Lepisosteus oculatus: one gene and its partner. The protein of the gene in region 2 purifies or fractionates together with the protein of the main gene of each other region. This does not show direct contact. Links are inferred from orthologs where the notes say so. Each region holds a gene or a part of one and is shown on either strand. Other genes may lie near its edges.

What was found. The genes of interacting proteins can lie anywhere in the genome.
Region 1: the proteins of sirt1 (region 2) and jun purify together in Homo sapiens (affinity purification with mass spectrometry; 4 studies listed by BioGRID and IntAct, with this or other methods). This does not show direct contact. The link is inferred for Lepisosteus oculatus from reciprocal best matches to the Homo sapiens genes SIRT1 and JUN.

The regions. Positions count from the first base shown.
Region 1 is NC_090704.1:17,935,031-17,942,768, forward strand, and holds jun (transcription factor Jun), read right to left. Parts: upstream 2,874-7,738; 5' UTR 2,322-2,873; coding exon 1,353-2,321; 3' UTR 595-1,352; downstream 1-594. UniProt on the Homo sapiens protein: Transcription factor that recognizes and binds to the AP-1 consensus motif 5'-TGA[GC]TCA-3'.
Region 2 is NC_090699.1:33,370,054-33,377,338, reverse strand, and holds the start of sirt1 (NAD-dependent protein deacetylase sirtuin-1), read right to left. Parts: upstream 3,012-7,285; coding exon 2,645-3,011; intron 1,827-2,644; coding exon 1,707-1,826; intron 1,438-1,706; coding exon 1,199-1,437; intron 603-1,198; coding exon 450-602; intron 145-449; coding exon of another isoform or gene 125-144; coding exon 1-124. Other genes in the region: dnajc12 (dnaJ homolog subfamily C member 12), read left to right, coding at 91-144, 4,096-4,173. UniProt on the Homo sapiens protein: NAD-dependent protein deacetylase that links transcriptional regulation directly to intracellular energetics and participates in the coordination of several separated cellular functions such as cell cycle, response to DNA damage, metabolism, apoptosis and autophagy.

The DNA of each region.
Region 1 (7,738 bases), on a different chromosome or scaffold from region 2:
AGACACCAGTTTTCAGGTACTTCTAAAGGGTAACCATTCAGTTCAAATAGCATTAACTGCAAAATGAGGCAAATAATTGTGCTTGAAACTTTGTCACATAAAGACCACCTGAAATCAAGCTCAATTACACATACTAAAAGATGTGATTCACTCAAGATTTGTTTTCAATACAAAAAAGGCTAGGACTTTTTGAATGCCTGTTTAAAATTGACAGGAACTTTTTTTTTTACACCAGATCCAATTAATATCAATATCTCAGTTTTCAAAAGTCTGGTCAGCTAGGCACTTAACTGTTGCTTTTGTGGTATAAAGAATCCTAGTGTATAAAAGAACACGCATTTCCTCTTGAGCTTTCAAACTTGAAAGAGGCAGTGCAGTACCTACCACTTCTGAAAACAGGAGGGAGGGAATTTTGCGTAGGATGTGGAGAGTACAGAAGAATGCCTGCAGTTATCGACGGATCAGTTTCAGAACATTTTAACTTGCTCGTTATATGAAAAAAGTGGGGGAAAAACGTTTAGGGAAGAAAACCATTTTCCTTATACAACTACAAACCCACCACCCAAAACTTAGAAAAGAGATACATTACAGACATTCATTTTATATACTTTATTTACACGGTCCTTAAATATAATCGATTAGTTTCTGAAATCTTCAGAAAACCAACATAAAAAATTATATATTTATTACAAATGGTAAACATAAGTCCTCAAAATTTAATCTTATTTACAAATAACAATGGGTTAAACCCCATTAAGCAACATAAAACAAATTTACAAAGGCTTGAAGCTTTTTGTATTGAAAGTACGTGAGTTGCCATAAAAGTAACGAAAAAAAAACCTTGCGTACATAACCCAAACTTCAGGCAACTTTTTTCAAAAGTATTCAGCCTTCTTTCATCACAGTACACGCCTTTCCATGGCGTTACATACAGGCAACCTACTGTTTCTATTGCAGTGTATTTTGTTTTACTTAAATCTTTTAATACTGAATGATCTTCGAAGGTAAGGTCCATGCAAAACTTGGTCAACGTGGTCTCTCTCTTTTCGTTCTTTCAGGGAAAAAAGCATGAAACAGAACATTTACAAAGCTGTGCTGTTTGTGGCCTTGTCTTTTGCTACCGACAAACTCAGCTTCTGAAGTTTCGGACTTCAGTCAAGTCGGAACTCCTGTGCGCGCGGGGCTCAGGCAGTCAGGCAGCCTCCTTCCTCTCAGTCTCTCGTCTTTCTCTCAGTCCGTTTCTTTCTCTCACTGCTGCATACTAACTGACCGCTGCTATAGCTCGTATAGCCTTTTAAGTTTCGTCCTTGATTTCTCTGCAATTAGTCTTTAACTCGCTCGCGCGTTCTCCTTCAGAAGGTTTGCAGCTGCTGTGTCAACATGAGCTGGCACCCGCTGTTGACATGATTCATGACCTTCTGTTTCAGCTGGGCCACTTGCTCCCGGAGCATGTTCGCGGTGGAGGCCAGTTCAGAGTTCTGAGATTTGAGCGTCTTCACTTTTTCCTCCAGCCTGGAAATCCTCTCTAGCTTCCTCTTCCGGCACTTAGAAGCAGCGATCCTGTTCCTCATGCGCTTTCTCTCGGCCTTGATCCTCTCCTGGCTCTCCATGTCTATGGGGGAGAGGGGAGGGGTCTCGCCGGGCATCTCGGGTACAGTCTGCGGCTCCTCTTTCAAAGCTTGGAGCCGCGGGTGCTGAACTGGCAACTGCGAGTTCATGGGGTGCTGGTGCGGCGGAGGTGGGTAGCTCATGTTTGTGTTGGCATTGCTGTAGCTGGGCGCCGCTGCGGTGCTCATGGTGGGATTGAACGTGCTGAGGTCGGCGTACACGGGCGGATCGGAACGCATGCTGGAATTGAAAACTGTATTACCAGCCATAGAGGAAACAGGTGCCATCGCGTTGTTAATGTTGCTCTGCGGTGCCGAGGTGACACTGGGCACACCGGGCATGTTCTGGTGGTGCAACTCAGCCAGTGCCCTGACGAAACCTTCGGCGAACCCTTCTTGCTCGTCCGTGACATTTTTCGGGCACAGGAACTGTGTCGGAGTCGGGGTTGTGGTGATGAGACCGTTGCTGGACTGAATGATAAGCCGCTCCAACTCCGGGGAGGCTAATTTGAGCAGTCCGACATCCGGAGACGTCAGGATGTCATTGGCTTTTGCCCGCAGGTGAGGTTTGAGAGAGACCGTTGGATCTGAGAGATTCAGGGTCATGTTTTGTTTCAGGGCTTTAGGGTTATATCCGTAGCCGGTTGTTTCGTGCTGAGAGAAGGTAGCATTCAGCGAGTCATCGTAGAAAGTAGGTTCCATCTTGGTAGACATAGAAGTTTGACCAAACCTCAGTTCAAATATTTTTCACACAGGAGACAAAAAAGTTTCCCTTGTTTTACCTGTAGTTATTGAAAGTCCACCTCGGTCAAAGTTCGACTTGTCAGTCCTCCTCGACTTTTCAGCAATGAAAAAAAGTCTGTTCTTTATAGAAGAAAGCCCTTTTTTCTTCAGTTTCAAAGTTGTTGTAGAAGTACTTGTCCAGTGTAGCCCGTCTTTAACGTCTGTTGCTACTCGGGGGTTTGTCAGCTTCTTCGAACTTGGATGTTTAAGTTGAACTCCCCAAAGCCCAGTCAAATGGGGAAAAAAGTTTTCTTCCTTATTAGCGACACTTCTCTGAGTCAGCTTGCTCAATGACACGCACAGTCTCGGGGTGTAACTGAAGCAGTGTCTGTTAAAAGTGCCTTTTGTGGTACTCTTCAGTTGTCTTCTGAAGAAACGTGTTAAGTGCTGAAGTTGCTAGGGGGCTTATACACCTCTTTAGACTTGGGTGTTGAACTCTGCTAAAGTCTGTATACTCTGAGCTGTTCCAGCGTGGAGGCAAACCTTATCTGCTGGTACTGCCTCACTAAAAATAGCAATGATGTAATGCGTGAAGTTTCTTATTGGCTGCAGGCAATACACTGGGCGTGCCCTTATTTTCAGATAAGGTGCGTTGCCTAGACGACCACCCAGAAGATTCTACTTCTCGCGGTGGCTGATGGGATGAGGTAATTCGAAGTACTGTGCATTATGGGATTACGTATTGTTTTTGAATATCTGGTTACCCGCTTAGTTACACAGACAGCGGTTAGATATATTTAATTGTTAAAGGAATATCATTTTCGTTTTGTTTTTTAAATGTATTAATTTTTTAGTTTTTACGATAATTATTGGTGTATGATTAAAACACAATTTTTATGTTAAAGCTGGTAAAACGTACTTGAAAGTTTAAATCTTGGGACATATATGCATTTTACCTGTATCTCTGTTTAATGACACTTTATTATTGGGAATAGACCTAATAAGGGCTGAAGATGGTGCAAGGTACGACACACTACCAAGAGTAGACGGATTAAAACTATTAAATACTAAAATACGATTATTTTACAAATTCAGTACAGCTGTTGATGCAGCAATGGAATCACATGTGAAAATAATACACTTTTGAGAAACCATTTGTCAAACTTTGTTTTGGCTTGTAAAAACAATGTTAATTTAAATAAAACATGTTAAAGTAAGAACACACTACATCATAATATGAATGATTAATTTTAAACCTTGATAAATAATTGATCTCACCAGTGGAATTATAAATGTTTTGCGAGTCTGTTTGTATTACATGCAGGGACATGTCTCGGTTAGGTTTAGCGCGCTGGTCACAACGGGGTCAATCGATGGATTAGGTCGTCTGTTGTGATATTGACATGATACACGTCCAGTTGTCCGAGCGTCGCCCGCCAATCGAATTAAAGCAGGAGGCGGGTTTAAGGTAAAGTTACAGCAGGGGTCTCTCAAACGTCTGTGGGACTTAGCATAAGGGGTGCTCTCTAAACTACAAAATTCATCCAAACACGGGAAGACAACTTTTTTATTAAAATATTTTCAGTTTTTACTAGGTACAGGTAGTGACTCACATGTTTTTCTATACCATGAAAACACAAAGGTGTAGACTTTACTTCGCTGTACATTTTTCCTACTTTGTGGATAGTAACAATGTTGGGTATACCGTTATGTAAGGTGTTTTCAAGCCTTGGACTCCAGTACTAATACTTCCTGCTTTTTTAGCTTTAGTAGGATTGTTAAAATGCAACTGTTTTAGCGAATATCAGTTTAATGATTAATTGTTTAGGTTAGGACGGGCAGCATCTTGTTCTCTTATCCTAATTTGTCTTGTTTTAAAGACACCAATTAGAGAAATGTCGTTTCAAATTTAACAATATTATAAAGCTTCAAAATGTTGTTTGTGCTAACGCATGTGTGTTACCCTTTGAAGAAAGCAGTTGCTTACTATTCCATATTGTGCTGAATCGTCTGTGATACAAAGAGTACAAAACGCGTATTCTGTTCTATTCTGTTCTTATTCTGTTGAAAACGATTATCCCAGTACTGTACCTCTGTCTAGTTCATTCTTGTGCCATTTATCAAATACTTCTGTCGTCTTGTATTTCTTCTTTAAAGATGTTTGCGTTCAGAGTTTAAATACCTTTAAAGGTTGATATAACTGACACGTTGCTTAAGGTACTTTGTCCAAGTTTTGAATGTCCTGGGACACTTATCGAAAAAAGCACATAGCAAATGAATGTTCATTTGTGTACTCAAGTATGGAGTAATTTTTGAAAGAAAAGTTTACATTGTCGTATATTTATATGTATAGTATGCGTTTGTTATATTTCGTCGTTGTTATACTGCGTCTAATTGTCATAAACGGTTGTAGTATTTACATTTATTTTAACTAATCGCTGATGCACACTACGTAACACCCGATATAAATAAATCGTAAGTGAAAAATTAAGATTATATATACAGAAATAACCTGATACTTTCATTTAATGAAATAACCATCAGAAGTAGTGCTTTTTCTGTTTAGGTGTGATGAAAAGACTTAATAAATACGAAAGGTGAAGCTCTCACAGCACACATACAGTAAATGGCATATACACTATGTTATGTATGCCTATTCCATCGCGAGTTTATCCGACTGAAGTTTTTATATATTTACTTTATAAATCATTCATAGACATCTGCGGATATGTGGAGATTTTGTACAAACACTGTTGTTCAGCCTCTTAGATGTAAGTCTCCGCCCCACCACACACAGCCGGGAGGTTTATCAGAGGAAATAGAATAATTATCTGCTTTAATATGGTTTTGTATCTCGGTAAAGACTCTCCGGATTCAAATGAAAGTGTTTTGATCTAGAGAAAGGTTACAGAGAGGCATACGGTTTGAATAAAATAGGTTCATATCAATAATTTTAAAAATCTGTTTTTAAATAATCGGAGGTAATCAGAAGTGGATATATATATATAAAAAAAACCGAAAAGTAATTTCCTCATGCCCAAACAATACATACAGTAGTTGCTTAACGATAGGGATCTCGTAGAAGTACTTGTTCGGCTACTCTTGCCTTTGCGTTTTTATTTTTACTGTGTTTTTTGAGCATGTCCCTAATAAGTTTCACATTGTTGCAACAGCCCGAGCTCGGTCTCTGTACATCACGTAAACATGACACTGCACTTGGTCGATACGCTTGAGTATATCTGGAAATGGTAATGAAAGGATACCGCGTTTTAAAATTCACTTGTCCCCCCCTCCCCGGTTTTTTGTTGCTGTAACACAGCGATCGCAAAGTTCGTCAAGAAGAGAGCAGCGTTTTACCCGAACTGTGGAAAATAGATTTCTAGATTAATATGTATATACATTTAGAGAAATCTCAGACACCTTTAACTGTAGAAAACGTTTTAATATAGACGCCAAAGAACACAAAAGAAATGCAAATTACGAAAATAAAATACATATAATGGGTTAAAAAAATGATCGCAGGTTTTCAGAGTGTAAAGGGACTGCTTGTGCTAGTGGTTGAATACAAGGGCGCGTTCGTGAATTATTTTTTTTAAAGAACAATTCAGAAACTCAGCACTGCGCATATTAAATTCCAGAGTCTGGGTCCTTCCATTATCCGTAATCGATTTGTCCTTTCAAGGTAGGCTACCCCTACTCAGTCGTTCGCAGGAAATGCACATACACATTCTCTTGAACACGCACACGGTGTAATGTCAGAGATGACAGTTAACTAGGACAGCGTGGTTTTGGACCAGAGAAAACCCACAGACTCGGGGGTCAAGCAGCACAGAAGCTGAGCTGCGCTAACCCCCCACGCCACTGTGCCATCCGGCTGCGTTTATTTAGTGGTCTAAATTACTACTCCGGGTTTTAACTGTCTCTAATCGTTTACAAGGTTGTATTCTGGCTCACGGACACGCAAGAAATAAATGAGACATGGCGATACAATAATATAGGAGAAAGCGTTTCTTTGTTTCTGTCTTTTTAACAGATTTGCTTCTAAAAGAGTTTTTTGCTCATGACATTTGAACTTCACAATGATGAACAATTTAAAATGTATTTTCCTCTTATTTGAAAGCTCATTTTACTGCTGGGACCTCTCCCAAAATCATATGAGCTCCACTAGTAAACCTTTCAGTGGATAATAAATAACAGCCTGGCCATCCAGTATTTATCAAACTAAGAGCCTGACTGAGAGAGCTATTACATGAATAAAATATTAGCAATCTTGCACTCTTTGAGCTTACTACAATGCATAACAAGTAGCATTAACTAAGGTGGCTTTCCATGATTGATGGAAAGTATTAGTACTTGTCTATAATTGGATCCATTCTTAATGTCTTTGTTGATGTCTCCCATGTCTTGTTACATTGCTGCTGAGATCTCCATGTTTGTGATATGTTCTGTAGCTTCCATTTATACAAGTGAATAGAAATATCTAACATTTCTACTGCAAGTAATATTGAACTACAGAGGAAAACTGAAGCATAGAAGGCTTTCTTATAGTTAGAACAACACCACAAACATCCTGGAGTTTTATGGTAAAAATCTTGCAAAGATTTGATGGTTAATGTAACAAGGAAAACAGGAGTGTACAATGTGGAAAAGGTTACTTCAGCAGCAGTATAGATATTATGTTATTCTGATATTCTGTGCAAAAGTAAAATTAATACCTAATACCTTAACATGGTTCTATAAATGCCTAATTTAATTGATTACATTTTACTCATTACTCATAAACTTTTCTGATAAACTGTTTTGCCTTTGCATACGCATAAATTCTGCATTATGTGAAATCTGTCAGTCTGGTCAACACACAGAGTTTCACTTTCTCAACATTGATGTGTTGAAAAGCTTTATTGTGTGACAAACCCTACAATCTTTCATTTTCTAAGTAATATGTCCTTGCTTGTGAAGTAATAACATGTACTGCTGTTTTGTACTCAGTTTGTTTCCAGTTGTGTAATGCTTAAACAGAGCTTAGACAAGACCTGTTATTTTTGAACACAGGAGAAGTGGCTACACACAAGCCACCTTTCTTGCAAAGAACGAGCAGTTTAAACTTTCAAGATAAGATAATGAAAGAACCACACATTCCACAAGGCTTTCTTTGTTTGTTCTTCATTTAGTTCTGAAATGTTGCTCTTTTGCAGACAAATATTTACTGTTTACAGAATATGAGCAACAAACACCCAATAAGTTTTCCTTTTAATATAATAAAGTGCTCTTCTCAAAACATGGCATTGTGTCATCTGACTTTATTAATTTGATATACTTTTGTTTTTCACCTTTGGTTGATTTTTATATCTCTTAAATTGATTCTAGGAACAGAACTATGGTGCATTAAATCTTTTTCATTATCTGCA
Region 2 (7,285 bases):
CTCCAGCCACTTGCTCCAGTGTGTCGATATTCTGAGTATAGTTTCGAAGAAGCTTCCCCTGCTTATCCAACATTGCAATGAACTTATGACATGGCGACGGCTGGAACTGTCCTGGATAGATCTCCTGAGAGAGCAGAACACACTGTAAGTAACCCAAAAACTCCGCCCTTGATAGAGAATGTAAGATGTTTCAAATAATTTTAGAACATTTTACACACCCCAAAAATGGAGACCATTTCTTCTTATACTTTTAATCATCTCCTGTTCAAAATGTAGTGATTTTGGTGCATGTACATGTTAATATGCAATTTCCCAAAAAAGTAAGCAAAAAATGCTTTGGATGTAAAATATTTATTCATAACACAAGTCACAGTCACTCTGGCATGTTTAATAATGACGGCAGCGATCTGTGACATAGGCAAGGCGCTCTTACATTTAAATGAACAAACCTTGGCAAACTTAAAGAAGGGTCGCGGATCTCTCCTGAAGTATTCTATGTCAAACATCGCCTGAGGATCAGGAAGATCGGGGAAGTCAATCGCAAGCCGCGCGTAAATGCCATCACGGGATCTAAAGTCAGGTATTCCACAGGACACCGAGACCTGCAGTCAGAAAGAAATGTTTACAGCTCTTTTCACATTTCATAAAATCCAACACTAAATTACTTATTTCAAAAGACCCATGTAATGATGTTAAAGAAAGATATATCTAGGTTTACTGAAAACACCCTCAAGATTCCATTAGAAGGAAAAATCCTGTTGGTGTCCGCTCCTTCTGCGCATACAATAATTTTAAATACCTAGATTTTCTCATTTTTTCCCCAATTACAGCATTTCCTCTTATTATTCCATTAAATTCAATGAAGGAGGAGATTCAGCTCCCAGCTACAAAGAATTTCTGCTCAGCTTTTAGTTATTTAACCAAATTTTAACATCCAACAATCCTAAAACAGTGCACCATTTTAAGCTCATGATGTAGGTTTTGGAGTAAGTCCGTGTGATATTAAGAGTTACTGAGAGGCATATAGGATTATAAAAAGCTTTACACAATATGCTTTTCCAGTAACATTTGCCTGAATTTGCTATGTGCTATACAGTTATGTCTACATTATTTTTGAAACGATGTACTCCGCTGTAGCTCTTAAGACAAACACAGCCTTTCTAGTATTTCTTCAGTGACATTTCTAATAATTACATACCCCAGCTCCGGTCAAAACTATAATCTTTTTACATTCTTGCAGTAACCTGACCACATCTTCCATGGTGTTGATGTCTTTGCGTTTCTTTCTTTTTGGAGGCTCCGATATGTTGATTATTATTTGCCACAGTGTCATATCATCCAGATCAGGAGGAAGAACAGTTTCTGGGAGAAGGTCTTTTAAAATCGTTCGAGGGTCTGTTTCTCTCATAATGTGTTGCTGAATAAAACTGTAGGAGCCTGAAACAAAACATATTTGACTTGAATCAATTTTTCAGTTGACACAATCTTAATATCTCTTAAACCTATTAAATTAATTTCCAAAAGCAGTCTTCCACTTCAGCAATACTTCAACTGGAATCTCATATTCAAAAAAAAATTAAATGCAACTGTCATTTTTGTCTGCAAGAATGAAATTTAAAACCCATACACAAACTCTTGTCTTCTGAATAAAACTACAATGTCTGCGTTACTGACACAACTGTTTATTACTATTTTAAAAGCCATACCTATCTGGGGCTGAGGTGTCCAGTCACTAGAACTTGCGTGCGAAGATCTGTCATCATCGTCATCGCAATCGTAGGAATGGAATCCATTGGGCAGAATCTCATCATTGAGATCAATGTACTCTGTCAGCAAAAACAAAAGTAAGAAAACTGAATCACGGCTCTGTCTTGACCTAACTGAGTTTGTACAAATCAGTTAATCACAAAATAATGGAAACATCTTCAACGCCATGTCTGAAAAATTGAAAGACTGACAAGGAAATCTGCAGATTTTTTTTTACAAATTATATATGCACAGGAAAGAGGTGTGACTGATTCTGGTGTTTTTTTTTAATTGATTGTAGAGTTTATAATAAAGCGCCAAGTAGACGGGTATAATTCGATGTGAAATTGTATGAGGAAATCACGATTATTCGGTAAAGAATCCAGCGTCTATATAAACCGTTATTTAATTACTTTAATAACCTTATACTATGCACCCCAGACGCACTGGTACTTTCCTGCAAGTAAATCGTAAGAAAACCTTCTTGCCATACTCTTGATATGTGCACGTTCTGATCATTGCATTAGTTAATTTTCTGTACAAAACTGCGATGCCCACTTCAGAAATACATGGCCCTATATTAATCCTTAAAGTTATACACGAAAAATGCTACGTTAAATTTTACTCTCAATTTTAAATCACGAATATTATATTAAATGTATGTTCAATATAGACTATGCAGAATTTTAAGTTTTCGGAGTTTTTTGTACATGGCGGGTAAATAGGTACGCTTGGTGCAGAATGGTTACCCTTGCACGGCATTTATGTTGCACTTTTTTATTATGTAATTTTTATCCACCGGTAGAGTTGTGAAAAGTTCTACAGACTGTATTAGACTGTCCACGTTAATTCAAGTGGACCAGACAGGAGTGAGCAGCGATCGCGGAGAACTCCGTACCTGGTCGCTCTGCAGCAGAACCGCCGACCGGATCATTCTCTCCCTCCTCCCCCAGCCCCTCCTGCAGCTCCAAGCCCAGAAGCCCATTGTCTCCTCCTGGTGCAGCCGAGGCCTGTCCCACCGTCACCACCTCCTCCAACCCCGGCCGCTGTGTCGTCGCCGCCGCCGCCGACACCGCTGCAGCTGCTGGTGCTACGGCAGCCGCCGCCCCAGTCTCGCCGGCCCCGATCCCACTCTCCTGATCGATCTGAGCGGCCTTATCCCCGTAACTAAACGCCAATCCCACCTTCGGCTTTTTAGGCAGAGGTTCATCTGTTTCGAAGCCACTGGCGCTGGAGTTTAGGAGGATATTCTCTCCGTCCGCCATCTTTAGCTCACTCGGGCTCCTCGCCGCTCAGACTCGACCATAGAAATCTTCCGTGCACGACAGCTGATGGGAGATTTAAACGGACCACGTGACTCGATCTCTTCCAGCGGTGGCCCACGCGACACCGCTACCAGCCGATGACGTCAACCACAACAAACGATGTCATGTGACTAGAGTGGAGCCAGGGGCGGAACGACGCGACTGCGCAGGCGCCTTCGGGGCTGACAAAGAATGTAGTACCGTGGCTGTATCTAACGGATAACGCCTTGCTTCATCACAAGACTTTTCTCTATCTATACGTCTCTCTATAATCCATCATACTAATAACCATTGCAACTTTATTCTATGATTCATCTCGGCCATCAAACCAAATTTAAGTTTAAGCGTTATGTATCTGCCTGAAAGGCACAGGCGTTGTTGGCAAATGGCTTCCGTTATTTTATAGGCTCGGAGGCGAGCAAGTATGGAAAGCAGGGATGACTGTGTCTCTGATATTTATTGAATTAAAGATGTATATCACATTTAATCATGATAAAGGACGTTGCTTATTGCTTAATCTTTTTCGGTTAGATGATGATAGGTGCTATAAAGGGTTTTGTGCACCGATATCGGCTCTAAAACATACATACTGGTGTTAAACAGTGATTGCTAGATGCGAGATTTTGAATCACACTCTACGGTACTTTTGCCTGATATACGGAATGTAAACTAAAAGACCTAACTTAAAATTTACGAAGCGGGATAATAGACATACTAACAGGTTCTAGGTACAACGCAGGAGATGTACTGGACATCTCGACTACATATCCCAAATTGCATTGTGTAATGTAAGTCAAAGCCCCTTCAGTGTGTATTTTCTCCTCCCACCGTCGCTGGTCCAATAAACTCTGGATCAAAATGCTCAAAAGCATCAGCTGACCGTTGCGTGAAAGAACTGGAATGATTTTTTTTTTATTTTCTGAGTCATAAGATAGGCTACATTTAGCAGGTTTAAGGTAAAGTTGTTTCATTGCTCATATTTGAAGCAATTGGTACTGAACTACGCGTATCTTGATTAGTGTTGGTAAACCTTACCTGTCTTCAGATGGACGCGATTTTGAACTGCAAACCTGAAGATCTGGAAGACTACTACGGTTTGCTTGGATGCGATGAACTGTCTTCGGTAAGCTTTAAATCAGCTAAAATGAAGTGTTGAATTGGTTTACTGCTTTCCCTGTTTTAAGTCAATAACTTCTACTAACGTTGCCATTTTGCAGACCCATCTTCAGTTTAAAAGTTTATTGAATGGCGATAGAGAAACTAATTTAAACACTAAACATCTGTGTAGATGTTTAAAATGTTTTTTTTTCTTCACGTCTTTTTCTGGTGGTACTGTAGCAATTGGATAAAGGAGAGAGACACTTCTTTTTTTAATAGATAAACTTCATTGTGTTATTGAACATATCCATCGGTGTGAAGGATATACAACGTGCATCGAAATAGCACCCGTTGGTTTTCTTTAAATCCCTTCAATGGAAAACCAGTGTTTGTGTCATTGTATTGTAAGCTAACAGGAAGTGGAGAAGATGTTTAGTTATTTTGATTGATGACAGTAAGTGGAAATGTAGACTTTTGCAAGCGATTGTACCTGTTTTAATTGGTACTTGTTGAAAATATTCTAAAATACGCCTTCTTTGCCTAAGTATCATTTACATGGAACAGAAAAGAATGAACAACCCTGCCATTTTTATAGATTTCTGGGGGTAATGCTGCCGTTTTATTGTAATATTATTTATGATGATGTATTGGTGATCTGCTCAAGCTTTGGGATTCCTGAAATTGATGTTTTTAAACGACAAAAGTTATATTGGAGTACACAGTTTCACTGTTTGCTAATTTCTGGAGAGGAAAAAAAACTAAGAAAGTCTTACTGAGGATGTTCTGCCCATGATTAATTTAAATCCATGTTGTTAATTAAAACTAGAAGTGAAAGTAATTATTTATATTTAACTACACTCTGTTAGTATTGATTACTGGCTGTTAGGGTGAGATGATATAAATGTCCTTGCTAATTTCTTCACGCACTACATGCTGTCACAAACTACATATTTCAGTGTAAAATAACTCTGTAAATTAAACGATAAAATACATTGAGATCCACAAATGTTTGATGACCAGCTTACCTGTGAAGACCCAAACAACAGCTGTCCAGACTACAAGAGTTCATTTGCCAAGATATTTACTGTATCTAACCTCCCTCCCTCCACAGTAAAACAGACAAATGGGAAGTCACAATGTCAGCAGTGGTGAATTAAATGCCCAGTCATCCTTGTCAATCGATTAAGGTCCCATTCTGAGACCTGGAGTGGTGTTCTGCAGCTTGAATGTTCAGAGTGCAGCTGGTGTGCAGCTTCTGCATGATTGAAGATGTCCCACACAGCTGTCTATCAGCACTTTCACCAAGCCTCTCAGCTATCGGCTTGTGATTACAGATGTAGCATCATGAGTTCCAGAAGCTTCTAGTCATGATTAGGCATGAAGCCAGCTACAGTACACAGTGGCTGTCTAGCACATGGATGAGATGGGTGTGTTTTTTGGACACTGTAATTACAATGGGTTTAATGTTTCACAGTTTCTTTGTCTCTGTGAATAGTCTTACAGTGTAAGAATAGACTAATGCATAGATGCTGCACAAAAAACAATGTGATAAGTACTGCAGTCACAAGTGATCAGGAAATGGAATGTATTATCAGTAGTAGTAGTGAGCTAGGACTACCCTAGACAACCTTCTGGAAATGCCAAAGATCTTAAGTAAATCTAGAGATGTTATTAGTACGGAAAATAATATATTCAGTACATTATTCCGCATCTATATGTGTTTTCACTGAAAAGGTCATGCAAATCATTTAGTTTTAATTTTGTCTTTTGGGTATTTATTGAGTTTGAACAGCACTCCTCAGCATCTACTGTACTCTGCTCACGCCACACAAACAGCAGCCTTAAGGTGCCCTAAACCGTAGTCTGTCTCATCACAATATGTGTGGATTTTTCAGTCTACCAAACCCATCTATGTTCTGGACACTTGCAGATCAGCTTCCCTGACACCTATGCACAACTCTAATCTGAGAAAACTGAGGGCTGTTCAGCTCTTAACGTCATTTCATGTCTGTTGACGTTCAACAAAACACATTCTGCTCATGGTTCCCTGGATTTCTTTCATTTACTCAAGGTCACTGCCGCTTCTTCAAACCTTATGTAACATAGGCAGGAAAAAGTGTGATAATGTCATTAGAGTTCTCTAATTTGCATATCACCAGCGAAATAAACACCATTTTCCACCCTTTATGGGTATGCATACAAATTATATAATTCAGGACCATTCAAGCATTTTGCAGATATGACGTGCACAACGTTGGCTTTGCACACAATGAAGATTGTTCTCCGTTTAGATTCACCAGAGTGCTTGTTTCCACTCTTCTTCAAAGCAAGCAGTTTTCTCATAGATAATCCTTTCAGGTGCAAATCAATGGAAAACATTTCTGATAAGACTCTGAGACAAGAAAGGAAGTAGATTGTATGTATGAGAGAAGCTAGAAGGACGCAAACTGACGTGTTTACTTGTGTCTCTGGTTTGATGTCATTCCTTTTATGCATAGATGTTGCACGTGAACTCCAATTTGTAAAGAAGCACAAATATGGTATTTTTTTTGCTGTGTTGCCAAAACAGGACCAATTGATTCTTCCCAAGGTATTGTAATCGGAATTGCAGAACTGACTTAAGATTATACATTTTGTTAGGAAATGTTTCAGTTAAACCAGTTGCATAAAATGAAATAAAAATATAGCTATTTATTAGTTTCATAGGACAAGAAGAAAGCAAGCTTAGTCAAGAAATGGAGCAAAGACTGACAATAGTGAATTATAATAATAATAATTGCTTACACTTATATAGCGCTTTTCTGGACACTCCCCTCAAAGCGCTTTACAGGTAATGGGGACTCCCCTCCACCACCACCAATGTGCAGCATCCACCTGGATGATGCGACGGCAGCCATAGTGCGCCAGAACGCTCACCACACATTAGCTATCAGTGGGGAGGAGAGCAGAGTAATGTAGCCAATTCATAGAGGGGGATTATAAGGAGGCCATGATTAGTAAGGGCCAATTGGAAATTTGGCCAGGACACCGGGGTTACACCCCTACTCTTTTCGAGAAGCGCCCTGGGATTTTTTAATGACCACAGAGAGTCAGGACCTCGGTTTTACGTCTCATCCGAAGGACGGCGCCTGTTTACA